Linked DNA regions of Drosophila melanogaster. The protein of the gene in region 1 purifies or fractionates together with the protein of each later gene. This does not show direct contact. Each region holds a gene or a part of one and is shown on either strand. Other genes may lie near its edges.

The links. Proteins that work in one complex are often made in the same cells at the same time.
Region 2: the proteins of alphaTub84D (region 1) and ringer purify together in Drosophila melanogaster (affinity purification with western blotting, with the first as the bait; one study listed by BioGRID). This does not show direct contact.

What each region holds. Positions count from the first base shown.
Region 1 is NT_033777.3:7,529,041-7,534,213, reverse strand, and holds alphaTub84D (alpha-Tubulin at 84D), read right to left. Parts: upstream 3,462-5,173; 5' UTR 2,956-3,461; coding exon 1,603-2,955; 3' UTR 1,482-1,602; downstream 1-1,481. Other genes in the region: Rtnl2, read left to right, coding at 4,420-4,894, 4,967-5,173. UniProt on the Drosophila melanogaster protein: Tubulin is the major constituent of microtubules, a cylinder consisting of laterally associated linear protofilaments composed of alpha- and beta-tubulin heterodimers.
Region 2 is NT_037436.4:16,353,261-16,362,624, reverse strand, and holds ringer (ringmaker), read left to right. Parts: upstream 1-3,196; 5' UTR 3,197-3,326; intron 3,327-6,176; exon of another isoform or gene 6,177-6,320; intron 6,321-6,433; exon of another isoform or gene 6,434-6,534; intron 6,535-6,588; 5' UTR 6,589-6,595; coding exon 6,596-6,991; intron 6,992-7,257; coding exon 7,258-7,440; 3' UTR 7,441-7,879; downstream 7,880-9,364. Other genes in the region: Pdh (photoreceptor dehydrogenase), read left to right, coding at 8,344-8,487, 8,544-8,945, 9,010-9,300.

The DNA of each region.
Region 1 (5,173 bases):
ATAACTTGCTAATTTTCAATTTTAAATTATTTACCATTTAAGATTTCTATGATCATTTTCAAAGTACAAGTATAAGTTTGGTTGTTTTTTGGTTGAACTATATATATACATATATTTGTGATCAGAATTCCTAGCCAAATCGATCTTGTCGATGTCCTCTTCCTTTAAACATCGGGATATAGGGAACTAAAAGAGCTCAATCAATTAAAAAAGGCATTCCGCCCACAATTTTAATAAATATTTCAATTTTCATATTATTTATAATGGTATAATTATGGTAAGACTTTATACAATGTATGCAAAAGTAATTTCGAGTATCAGGTAGAAGGATACTTTTTGGCCCTATAATGTATGTATTTTCCTGCCCGGGATTACAAGGCCGAGTCGATTACCCATGTTTGGCTGTCTGGCCATGTGAAGGATTAGGACTTACCAGCTATTACCTCTATGATATTGGGAATGGGTATATTAAATACCATCTCGGAACCCAACGCTCAGACAACGTTTTTATCCAGCAGGTAGCAAGGTCCCAAGAGTTTTATGTTTTACTTTAATTGACATTTAATTGACAGACGACACGCACTGCCGTCAGAACACTGCTAACGATACATGATTGTAACCTGGCCCACAGGATTTTATTAAGTGCCTGGAAATTTGCGAACTAATGCCAACGGATTTAAATAAACGTTTTCACGCATATGTTTCTAAATAAATTGTTTTGTATACCTAGGTGAATCGATCTTACCTTGGTAAGATTTCCTTTATCATTTTTAACAGGAAATATGAAATTGCATGTCTTTAGGAATTCGGAATTTTAAATTTTGCTTTTATATCCTTATACCTCTTAAAGAAGAAATAATTATTCTCGCTACACGTCGAAAAATCTAAATCAAACTCTATTGAGGATATAAATTTGTCTTCATTAGGATCACTAGCGAGATCTCAAGAATTATTAAGGCTGGAAATTTATTTCTATTGGTTTTTTTTTTTATGAATCTTCGCTTAGTAAATAGAAATGAATGAAAATATGGATAGATCTCTGTTCAATTTTATTGGCTGAATTCTATGCAGCAAAGAAAAACTTTATATTATTTGGACACCCTAGATGATTGGAGAATGATATGGAAAGCTGGATCCATCGACTTGCATACGTGGATTTCTAGTTTTAGTTTCTAGCCTGGTAAAACCTTACCGTTTAGCCAGGTAGAGCGTTCTCTAATCTTACTGTATACAGGTGTTGAAATCCTAGATAAGACACCTTTATGATGTTCGGTTTCCTGTGGACTGTTAAATTATAAATAACCTATGTTAATAGAGGACATTAACCAACCAACAAAATAAAAATGAAGCAAATTAATAATATACAGATGTACCCCACGTGAACAACTTTTTAATGCATGACTTTTGGTCATATATAAAATTAAAGTTAATTTTAAAGTACTAACTTTCTCGTGCCTTTTACTAAACGTGGTTAATAAATTGGTGTTTTCTTGGGTTTTTATTTTCTTCTTTGTTCGCTATACATTATCGCAGAAAATTTATACATGCGAGTGGGAGCGTATGAAAATAAGCAAGATTTTGAGGGATGCACACCTATCCGCTCTAGTACTCCTCAGCACCCTCGCCCTCACCGTCACCGGAATCCATGCCGACCTCCTCGTAGTCCTTCTCGAGGGCAGCCAGATCCTCACGGGCCTCGGAGAACTCGCCCTCCTCCATGCCCTCACCAACATACCAGTGGACGAAGGCCCTCTTGGCGTACATCAGATCGAACTTGTGGTCCAGACGGGCCCAGGCCTCGGCAATAGCCGTGGTATTGGACAACATGCACACGGCACGCTGCACCTTGGCCAGATCCCCGCCTGGGACGACAGTGGGTGGCTGGTAGTTGATGCCCACCTTGAAGCCGGTGGGGCACCAGTCCACGAACTGAATGGTACGCTTTGTCTTGATGGTGGCGATGGCGGCGTTCACGTCCTTGGGCACCACATCGCCGCGATACAGCATGCAGCAGGCCATGTACTTGCCGTGACGGGGATCCACCTTGACCATCTGGTTGGCTGGCTCGAAGCAGGCGTTGGTGATCTCGGCCACCGACAGCTGCTCGTGGTAGGCCTTCTCGGCGGAGATGACGGGAGCGTACGTCACCAGCGGGAAGTGGATGCGGGGGTAAGGAACCAGGTTGGTCTGGAACTCGGTGAGGTCCACATTTAGGGCTCCATCGAATCGCAGAGAGGCGGTGATCGAGGACACTATTTGGCCGATTAAACGATTCAGGTTAGTGTAAGTGGGTCGTTCGATGTCCAGGTTTCGGCGACAGATGTCGTAGATGGCCTCGTTGTCCACCATAAAGGCGCAGTCGGAGTGCTCGAGGGTGGTGTGCGTGGTTAGGATGGAGTTGTAGGGCTCCACCACGGCGGTGGACACCTGCGGAGCTGGGTACACGGCGAACTCCAGCTTGGACTTCTTGCCGTAGTCCACGGAGAGACGCTCCATCAGCAGCGAGGTGAAGCCGGAGCCGGTACCTCCACCGAACGAGTGGAAGATGAGGAAGCCCTGCAGACCGGTGCATTGATCGGCCAGCTTGCGGATCCTGTCCAGCACCAGGTCGACGATCTCCTTGCCAATGGTGTAGTGGCCACGGGCGTAGTTGTTGGCCGCATCCTCCTTACCGGTGATCAGTTGCTCGGGGTGGAACAGCTGACGGTAGGTTCCAGTACGGACCTCGTCGACCACAGTGGGCTCCAGATCCACGAACACGGCGCGAGGCACGTGCTTGCCAGCTCCAGTCTCGCTGAAGAAGGTGTTAAACGAGTCATCACCTCCGCCTACGGTCTTGTCGGAGGGCATCTGGCCATCGGGCTGGATGCCGTGCTCCAGGCAATAGAGCTCCCAGCAGGCATTTCCAATCTGGACTCCGGCCTGGCCCACGTGGATAGAGATACATTCGCGCATATTGATTTTTAATGGGGTTTCCGATTCCGGGTTTCTTGTTTCGAGTTTCGGTTTCTCACACGCGACTACGGAAAATCAACGGAAAAAGTGTAAGCCTACGGATTTTGGGGTCTGACTCTGCGGGCGTATACGTTGGAATGCCCGGGAATGGATTTCGAACAGACGTAAATCGCCAGTAGCTCTGTTTTACGAAAAAGGGCTTCACAACAACTCAGATATTAGATTAGATATTAGATAACTATCTATATTATACGAAACGCGTTTCTTTTACCAATCGATTTTGCTCTGGGGGCACGAAAAACCCTGTCAGGCCGCTTTTTGGTTTGTTTGTTTGAATTCGGCTTTAGTTTCACGCTGATTTTTACACAACATTGCTAGCTCTTGGCCAATAATTGATTACCATCGGCAAGAGTGTTCAGATGCGGCTAAATGGCGGTATTTACGAGATTTAAAGATCAGTAAAATTATTTAGCACAAGCACGCTTGTTCAGTAGATTAAGTGTGACCGCCGGTGGGAAATTTAAAGATACCAAACAGTTCAATAATACCAATGCCTTGTATAAGTGAACTGCATATTAACACAATTAATAATGCCTATTTCAAGAGAGCGTCAAATTACTAATGTTCCGTTTAAGTAATTTTACATGTGTTTAGAACATCTACTATTACTATTTACCAAAATGAACAAAGTATGTAAACCGAATAGTGCATTTTTGCATTAAGTCAGTAGGTCATAGTGAACAAAATAAATTGAAATAGAGATAAAAGAAGTAAGTAATTTTTTTATGTTCATATATTTTTAAAGAATGGAGCAACCCGTCCGTAAACACAACGAACTCTTTTGACCCGCTTGGTATATTTTTAAGGCAGTAATTTCCGAGAGCAGTACAGTACTGCGCAGTTATCGATCCATTTTGCGCACTTATCGATTAATTGCGCGCGAAATGAGTATGCTTTGAAATAATCCACAGATGTATTTCTTTATATTGGGACCAGTCTGTGCTATTCGTGTCAAAAGGCTAACATTTTTTGGAATCTGCTACTATTTTGTGTATTATTCATATTTTCATACAATTGAAGATTTTCTGAAGATGCGTAAGTAAAAACTACTATTTAAACCCGCTAGTTAGCTAAAAAAAAAGGATGAATAATGTGCGCAAAGCATTCGGTATTAGCTAGGTAAATGTAGTAAAATTTAAAAAAATATTTTTTAGAATATCTTCGCTTTCTTCATTTTGAGAAATACAATGTCGAGAAACTTTTCAAATTTAACTGTGAACTGAATTGAAGCAAGACACAAACATTGTGGTGAATCGAAATACATTCCGACCTGACAATTTGAAATCATTTTAGTTTGTCTATTCGGTTGACCTTTGAAATATTAGTCAGCTGTGAAAACTTAAAACATTATTTGCTCTGATCTCACAACCAGCATCCGAACGTGCTCTAAAGACATTCGAAAATATGAGTACCGATACTTTGATAAAGGCTAAGGACTCCAGCCAAATATTTATGGATCTGAAGAACCTGTTGTTATGGCGCAATAGCCGAAAGACTTTGATCGTCTTCACGGGCATCCTGCTCCTCCTGCTGGATGTGATGGTCCACTCGGTGATCAGTGTGATAAGCATGGTAGGGATCACAGTTCTCATAGCAGCTATTGGCCATCGCCTTTTGGTACAGTTCTGGAGTATCTGGAAGAAGGATGAGAACAAAGATCAGATCTTACGTTTCTATCCTCACCCGAAGATAGAAATCCCCCGGGAGGAGACTCTTTATCTGGCCGGGAAAGCAGTTTCCCATATTAATTTAATTTTAAACCGTATGATAGAATTGTTGCTGGTGGAAAAGTGGGAGGATTCCTTGAAGTTCCTAGTTTTGCTCTGCGGCATCAATTTGCTGGGCGATTGCTTCAACGGATTGACTTTGCTTATATTTGGTATGTGCATATGTTGTCTTACTTTACTTTATCTATAAAGTTACATTAAATTGAAATAATTTTTCTTTATAGGACACTTGTTTATTTTTACCGTACCAAAACTGTACGAGTCGTATAAGCCATTCGTTGATGTCCAGATCCGAAAGTTCCGTAAATGCAAGATAGATAAATCGAACGTTGAAAAACCGATTTGTATTCAGAAAGAGTGTCCGCCGGAGTCAGCATACGAGGGTCAGGAATCCAAAGAGGGCAAAGTACTATATGAGCCATGCGATAATG
Region 2 (9,364 bases), on another chromosome or scaffold:
AGTGAGTCTTGTTCGTCAGTTCACTGGTAACTGTTGATTCTGAGCCTAGGTCTTCATCCTTTTATACCCAGCAGGTTCTTTCGCGAGTTCTAGGTTCTGGTTCTGGCTGAGGTTCCTGCCGGTCAGATGCTTCTATTCTGATACACTGCGAAAAAATTCTAAAAGTATGCCATATTATTATCTAAGAGAGTATACAAATGTTTTATGCTCTTTTACCCTAATATAGTAACGTGATTTTTATGACTTAAATTAAATCCAAAAATAAGTAGTTCGTAATTTGTTTAATAATGATTTGTACAAAGCTTAAAACATAAATTTAAATGCATATAAATAATAATATTGCTAAAAAAGACTGTTCTTAAATTCCTGAAATTTTAATTTTATGATTATGACAATCATTAAAAAAATATTTTATTATTGATAAAAAAGGTGGTTTATTGTACTTAAATAGAATTCATCAAATTTGTACAAGCACACGTATTTCATTAAAGAATAACCTAATAGTAATAATATCTGTCACATTTTAAAATAGTAAACAGCCAATTAATTTTTTCTCCAAATGTATCCATCAGATGCACTTCAATGCAAACGAGGAGATGCGAATGCGTCGTCGTGTCCACTTGTGTCGTTAACGGACATTGCAGCTCCGCCTTTCACTCCCCTTTTGGGGATCGACGCCTCGTGAAGGCGTTGTCAATTTGGTTTAATTGTGGCCAAGGCTGGAGTGGGCCCAAATGAGGGAGGCAGACCCTGGTTCTCCGCAGCGGGAGGAGCAATCGCTGCCTGGCATCTCCATCTGCATCTGCATCTGGATCTGCAAGCGAGCCAAGGGCCTTGGCTGGGTGGACCATCAAGGCCAAAGACCGCATCCAGACCAGCGTGTAATTGATATGCAATCGTTGTTGCTGCCACAGCATTGTGGCATCTCAGCCTCCTTTTTGTTCGCACACTGCAACGGGGCCACGACAACAACAGCAACTTCAACTGCAACAGCAAATGCAACAACTGTGGCAACAACCGACGACGACAACAACGGCATCTCAAGGTGAGTGAAGGCCAAGGGCCACATTTGGCCACAGCTTGGACACGGGAGTCATGCACTCCAGTGGCGAACAAAATGGGGGTCTTAGGGGGGTCATAAGTACCCTTAAAAATTATAATACTTGGTTAGATACATATGTATGTACATAAGAAATATATGTTTTATGCGAAGAGCTTACAAATATGACACAGAAAAGGGTTAATTAAATCGTTAAGTCCGCTAAATAAATAATATAATGTGAATTTTTAGACACCTTATAGTATACACTGAAGATATATACTTATTTCAACCGGACACTAAGAAAACCCCCTAAGAATATGTTTCCCATCCGCCTCTGATGCACTGCAGCTGCATTGGTATCTCCTGTTCCTCCTTCGCTGGTCATTTTTATTTTTAGCAGCGGGCTTATCGGATGCCTCAGATCTCTGGTGCTTAAACTTCGCTCCCGATTAGGAGGAGGAGGAGGAGCAACTGCAAGAACCACATTGGATTGGCCTTGACGGCTCGGCTGATAAGTGCGTTTTAATGTTAGCCCCGTTGGCACTCAGTTTCAATCAAAGCCCAATTCTCTACAACCATTCCAGCCTGGCTTAATGAGCTGGTTAGTTCTGGCCTGGAATTGAAGTTGGATTGGCAATATAGTCCGGTCCACTTGGTTCACTCCCTTTGTTCTGTCTCGAGTGGACTGTGCCCTGATTTGTGTACCACCATTGGTTCTTTGAACTGCCTTCGTGGCTAATTAAAGGTGCACTTAAGATAGGCCAGGTGGCAAGAATCATGTTTTTCATTTTTCAGGACTGGGAGTACTTTGATTTTATGTCCTAGAAAAAAAGAGCAAACGAATCAGTCTAAAAGGTATTTCAGCTGTAAAACATTCCATAAATATAGGAAATTTAACTCTTTCTAATTTTAATTAAAGAATATTCTAAACGTCATCTGGTCAATAAACTAAATGAATATTGTAGAATGAAATATTTAAATTACATATCAAACATTGTATATTAAATAATAATAATCAATGGACCTCTGTTTGTAATACCTAATGCTTAATTTACGAAATTAATTAGAAGTCTCCTCAGGGTATTTCGTTTTCCAAGTTAGTCTTTCAGTTGCTTTGTATTTTGGTTTTGGGCCAGGGCTATGACTTCATCGAGTTGGCCACAAAAACTTACCAAATTCTTCCGACCGTCAGTTCTCATAAATCAATGTCAAAGGTTTTTTTTTCGTTCGTTTAGGGTTTGTTTTGGGTTTAGGACGGGCTTGTTGTTTCAGTATGTGTTTAATCATTTTATGGAGTGCGAAGTAATTTCCTTATGATTTCCTATTTGACTTTTACTTTTTCCTGAATGTCCAAAATAGAAAAGTTCAAAGAACCCATTTACCTAGTAAGGCGGTCGACAAATCTTAACCGCTTGAAATAAGTACTCATTTGCATAGCTAAGCATGAGCTCACTGGTTAGTATAGCCCAAGTCACACCCCAAAAACACGTCTAAGTAAGCCCAAAAGATACACCCTTCATTATTCGAATTGTCTGGCACTTGTTGTGTGTGTTTTTTGCCCAACAATTTCACGCATCGTTTTTTGTTTTTTTGCGCTTAAACAAATTTACTGACTACAAACTCACTGTTTTAGTAGCTCAGACTGTGTGGCGAACCCCTCCCCTTCTCTTTAGACAATATAAAATCAGGAAAAGCTTTAAGCTTTATTCCCTAGAATTTCACTCACAACAAACCAAAATTTTGAGTGTAACTTGTTGGTTTGATAAGATTCTGGTGTGTAGCGTCACTTTTGTTATTCTGAGTTGTTTTTAGGTCTCGTTTGTTTCTTTTTCTTTCTGATAAATGGCTTCGTCGTGTGGCTTTCGTTGTTAGTTTTCGTGTATAAAATTTTGCGAAATGAAGTCATCGCTTGAAAAAAAATTGGGGGGTCAGTAAAAGTGTCTATAAGATCCAAATCGTTTTCCTTATCTCATTCAGAAAGTTTTGGAATTTATGTTAGCTCACCAACGATTTGCCATCTTTTCTTTGGATAAAATGCTAAGGAGGATTTTCCTTTTTGAGTTTCTATTTCACTCAGCGAAAGCTCACTCAAAACAAAAATATCACTCATACGCCGCTTGGGCCTTCGCTAGCCACTGGCTGCGCATTTGTCCAAACAGTTGAGTTTCGACATCGCCAGCATTCGCGCGTTTGCCTTAAAGTGATTGGAAAATAGCCGAGGAATAAAACAAATATTTTTTTGGAAATATATTCAAGAATTTTTGGAACTTTTTTAATAACAAATGTAAGTTGGAAACGTTTCGAGAAAAATAATCTAGTTCGTTGGATTTATTTTTTTTTTTAAAATGTTACTGTATCCTGCATCTATAAGCAGACTCCGAGCCAAGGATATTTTTTTTATTCATTTTATGAGTAGCAGGTTCATATTTTCAAGAGCAGATTTTGACCCACTTACCGCGCATCGCGTTCCCCTTTTCTTTTGTTCCTGGGGAGCACCATTGTTTTCGATTTCCTTTGGGAGGTCCTGATTTAGGCGCATTTTCCCCGCTTCCGTGTGTATATATGCGTGCATTTGAATCATCAGTCTGAAATTCCAGTACCGAGACCCCCCAGGAAACCCCTTCTCCAAACTGGCGCTTGCGCGTTTCCCAGCTCCCAGTGATGTCATCTGGGCTAGTGGTGATGTAGCTACACATTTCATACACATATTATGTCCCGAGCATAAGTCCCCCTCCTAAGTCAATGATTTCTCTATTGCGTTGCGTGCTCTATCAGAATGCCCATGACTTCCTGTTTTGTTCCCCCCAAAATAAAAGTTCTCTTTAATTTATGCATTCAGTCCGAGGTGCTAATATTTCTGTGTGTTTATTAACACACGTAAACTCATATGTGGTGCAGTATTTCATGTTTCTCCCCCCAAAGTCGTTTGTTTTATAAATATACATCGAGATGACCCAAATTTCGCTTCCTCCATTCGCTTTCCAGCGGTCCACTTGAGGTAGGTTGGGTTTATAATTGCGTTCCCCTCTCCAGGAAGTCCATTCTTTTCGAAAATGGCTATCTATAATATTCATTCATATTCCTATTCAAATTGTGGTCATATGTCATATATATTGCCCAATTAACTTTTACCATTTTGGTAGAAAACTAATTAAAATGTTGGCAACGAATTCGCAATGCTCGACTGGAGCTGGATGAGAACTTGTTCTCCAAATCGAAAATACAGAGAAAGAATCCAAAACAGAGATGGGAAATGAGAAGAATCGAATTATTTATGGTCTGACAAGCAAGCGGATTATTTCTGATTTAGACTATCCACGCTCCCCATCAGACTGCCTGATTTTCTGCCATTCATTTCACGAGGGGTATCTGCACTTTGAGTTGCCAAAGAATATTAAGAAAATAATTTATTTTGTGTGAATATAGTATCCAAGTCTGATCAGGGTATCATAGGATGAGTCTTTCCATTGTCGATTGCGATGATTTAATACTTCCGCTTTTTAAATTGATTACGATCATCTTAAACTGTTAGTATTTCCCTCGAATAATTATAATATTTAGATTTTTGTAAAACCTTTCAGAAAATTATTAGCAATCGGGCTTCTATTAAAAATCAAACTAATAACGTCAATCTTAGTGTAGAAAATTGGATCTAACAATCCGAACTATTTGCATTGGCTGATGGTAGTTAAAAAAGATTGATTTTACTAATATTACAAAATGAATTCTATTGTGAAAAAAAGCATTTTGAAAGCCACCATAGATAACCTAAAGATATTTCTTATTAGTTTTGATTTTACAGGTAATTTCCTAGTCGATAGCCTCTTGTTTTTTGCCATCTTAAAACTCTTCTTGCATATTCCAACTTCTTTTGTGGTGTAGTTTGTCAACTTTTCTTGTTTCCGAGTATTTATGGCTTCCAATTACATGTAGGGGCGGAGTAAAGGGTTCCATTAGTCTTGTCCGGGAACTGGGACCGGATAATTTGTATCGTCTTGAGCGGAGTTCAAGTTCAATGGCCCTGGTCTTGAGACCAATAAGATGATTAATGACCGGCAGACTTGCTATGCATGCAATGTTCCCAATTAACCACTCAGTTTACATAGATCATTTCGATGGATTATCTGGGGAATATGGGCTATTAAATTGCCTCACCCCAGAGCTATTCAAAGCTGATCCCAGAACAGCGTAATCAAGAGCCGGCGTAATGAGGCGATGACATAAGCACTCATTTTTCGATTTGGATTGCGAATGGGGCTAGGGGGTGGTAAAATAGTATTTGACATGCTCGACGGGCTGCATCAAGGTCATGGTGATTCTACCCCGCCCGTCCACTTCGATTTCGATTCGCATCTGTGCGGGCACAAGCCGTGGCATCATATCTCACGGATAGAGGACTCCAAACTGGTTGCAGTCGCATCTTATCGCCGCATTAAATGCTTGCCCAAACGGCTTCCATCTCTCCTGGGGCTCCAACTTGCAACCTTAAGTGGTGCGTAATTAATGGCTCCGCCAATAAATGCTCACGTTTTATTTACTGTTTATGGAATGATGGGGATGGGTCTGAGGATTCGACTTCGTGTTGGGTAGCCTGTAAACAAGAGGACAATTTATGCTACAAGCAATTTTAAAACTAAATTATCATCCAAATTTATGCCACGTTCGGTGGGTAACAAATTAAGCGAGGAATTTCTGGCGATGCGTAAAATATTTATTGCTCTTTTTGTTATTTTAATAAGCGTAAAAGTGATTCATTTTAATAATTTTAGGGTATATCTATAACTGTATAGCTGTACCGTAAATACCTAATATCGCCTTAGGATTATTAAAACCCATGATAACTGCATGCTAGAGACTAATCATAAAAGATCTAGCAAGCTAGCGCTAAGTTCTGACCCCCATAGAGTAACCCATGTGAGCCAAACCTGTTGACTATTTGTTTTGTGTATTTGGGTTTGCCAAAAGGCGATAATTAGCTGCGTTGGGAGATGGGGGACCCAAACCGATGACGCCATCTAATGATTGAGTCTCTCCCAATTTGCCTTTAGATTTCCATCTCTCGAAATCTAGCTGAGAGAGCTTTGGCCTAGCTTTGGGTGGGTATAGCTTTGCCTTTGTCCAGTTCAGCATGGGTTGTGATATCATTGCGAAAGCGAAGTGAGTAAAGTACTGATAAGGTGTTCGCAAAGATACGTCTGGGAATAGCACCTACATATGTAGATAGTTGACAGTGACGGACAAGACCCACCGCAATGTTGGTGAGCGTTGTGGCCCACAGGTGAGGAACTGCGTAGGTGACAACCGTAGTCAACCGATTACGCAGGAGCGGAAAAGTTGCGTGTTGGAAGAAACCACTACAAAATGTTAAACAAAACAATGACCTATCAGGCTAGGCATATTATTAATAATAAATGATCCTCAGTCCATCTGTAAAATTGAAGGTTCTTTGTCCGTAGTTGTTTATTTATTACTGGGCATCTATTAAAACACCTGTAGGGTTCAGTAAAGGTTAAAAAAATATATATAATATTAAATATATTTTTCAGATCCACCATGTCCGAGGTAGCTGCAGCAAATGGAAGCCCCTCCCCAGCGCCAACTCCTGAGGTGCCCGCTACCGAGTTGGCCCAATTGGCGCTGGAGGATGAGCCCAAGGTTAGCTTTTCGGATCAGTTCAAGGCCTTCTCCAAGTTCGGGGACTCCAAGTCCGATGGCAAGCTGATAACGCTGTCGCAGAGTGACAAGTGGATGAAACAGGCCAAAGTTATCGACAAGAAGATCACCACCACGGATACAGGCATCCACTTCAAGAAGTTCAAGGCCATGAAGATCTCGCTCAGCGACTACAACAAATTCCTGGACGATCTGGCCAAGACGAAAAAGGTGGAGCTGTCGGAGATCAAGCAAAAGTTGGCCAGTTGTGGAGCTCCAGGAGTTGTGTCCGTTTCGGTGGGTTTGATAAATTGGTTGTGAAAAATATGATCTATATAAGTCAAATGATTAAGATTGATTTTAAAGTGTAAAGAACTTCGAGAAGACCATTTAGATATGACAAAATTTAAATGATTTTTTTTTGACTCATTTAAACTATCAATTGTTAAAGTAGTTTTCTTACAGAAGTTCTTAAAAAATATCTTTTTAAACCTTTGAAAGTCATAACCATATACTTTATGCCTTTATTGAAAACCTAATCAACATTTTGTTACCATTTTTAGGCTGGAAAAGCCGCAGCTGCCGTGGATCGATTGACGGATACGAGCAAGTACACCGGTTCCCACAAGGAGCGTTTCGATGCCTCCGGAAAGGGCAAGGGTATCGCGGGCAGACGGAACGTGGTCGATGGATCCGGATATGTGAGTGGCTACCAGCACAAGGACACCTACGACAATGCCCACTAGATGGGGTAACCACCGTTTTTCACCCTCTCATAAATCTGTATTTCTAACTTTTGTGTTTCCCTAGTTAATGTCTCCCAATCTAATTTATCTTTGTGTATATAATAAGTTTGTGATAATTTAAGTGCTTACAAATAAACTTATATTTTTGATTATAATTTTTGAGTTCCTTTACTTTGTTTATCCTTCTTTGTCCTTTGATACGTAAAATTTTGAAGCGGCCCAAAAAGAGTTCAAAAGTAAATCCAAATCAAATTTATATACATTTCATGGCAATCAAACCCATGTTTGGTAGTCTTAAGATAACAGATAAACTTTTAATATTACAATTTGTGAAAGAAATTTAAATATCACATATGGAAACCAAAGATATACGACATACATATGTAGATATATGTTATGTTTTCACAAGAATTTTGCTTGAATAAATACACTTTAAAATATTTGCATTGCTAAAATTTGTATTGGGAGGAAATACAATTTAAAAAACCAAAATTTTAAAGCAATTAAGATGGTTTTGTAAATCGAAATATACATTTAATTGTAAGATCTTTGAAAAATGCCCAACATGTGTACCTTCTTAAAAGCAAAGATTTCACTGGAAGATAGTTATTAAGAGATCATTGCTTTATCTACACAATGACATTATCACTGATGCAAAGCTGACATCGAAAAACCGGAGCGGTGTGAAGCAGACTGAACGCTACAGCGACCAGATGGGGATGGAAATTGATATATGGGCATAAGTTGCATAATCCTAACCCAGAGCAGGTGGAAAACTAGCTATTGATTGCAGTCGAACCAAAGTCACTCAACGATATATCATATAGCCCTTGGGAAATAGGTATAAAAGCGGCGAACATTACAGCTCCAAGTCAGCAGTGCAACTGAGGAGCTCAGTGCTTGATGAAGCCACAAGGAATACCACCGACTACTACACGAATCAGCCAGACCAAGATGTCCTTTCGCGGCAAGAATGCAGTGGTGACCGGTGGAGCTGGAGGCATTGGACTGCAGGTGTCCAAGCAGCTCCTGGCCGCTGGAGCAGCGGTTGGTTGTTTTACACATAATTACGTGAAGTAATTTCTAAAGCGAGTGCTTCCTAGAAGGTGGCCATCATTGATTTGCAGGATAATCTGGAGGAGTTTGTAAAACTTAGGGCCGCTCATCCCACCCAAAGCGTAATGATCATCAAGATGGATGTGGCGAACAAGAAGGGTGTGGAAGCCACCTATGAGGAGATAGCCAAGACCTTCGGTAACATCGATATTGTGGTCAATGTAGCCGGGATTTTTAACGACAAGGATGTGCAGAGGACTCTGTTGGTAAATCTCGGTGGAATCATCAATTCCACACTGAGTGCATTGCCCTACATGGGCAAGGATAATGGCGGCAAGGGTGGCATTGTGGTTAACATGAGCTCGGTGGTGGGTCTGGATCCAATGTTCATCATTCCCGTTTACGGAGCCACCAAGGCTGGCATCATCAACTTCACCCGGTGCTTGGCGGTAACAAGAATTTCTTACATATCTTTTGAATTAGGTTTTTCATTTAAGTCTCTTTCTTAATTAGAACGAAAAGTACTATCAACGCTCGGGCATCAAGTTTGTGACTGTTTGTCCTGGAGCTACAATGACGGACATGTTCACCAACTTTACGGAGAAGATCATCTTCCCGGAAACGAGTGACGAGACCTATAGGATCCTGGATAGGCTAAACAAGCAGAGTGCCGCTGATGTCTCTCGATGCATTCTGAATGTCCTGGAGAAGGACAAGAACGGAGCTGTCTATGTCATCGAGGGTAAGCGCGTTTACCCTTTGGAAATTAAGCCCCAGTGGACGGGCAAGGAACAGGCCCTTTAAGTGGGTTAATTCGTTCACATCCTAAACACATGCATTTTACAAATATGAAGTTATTATGGACACT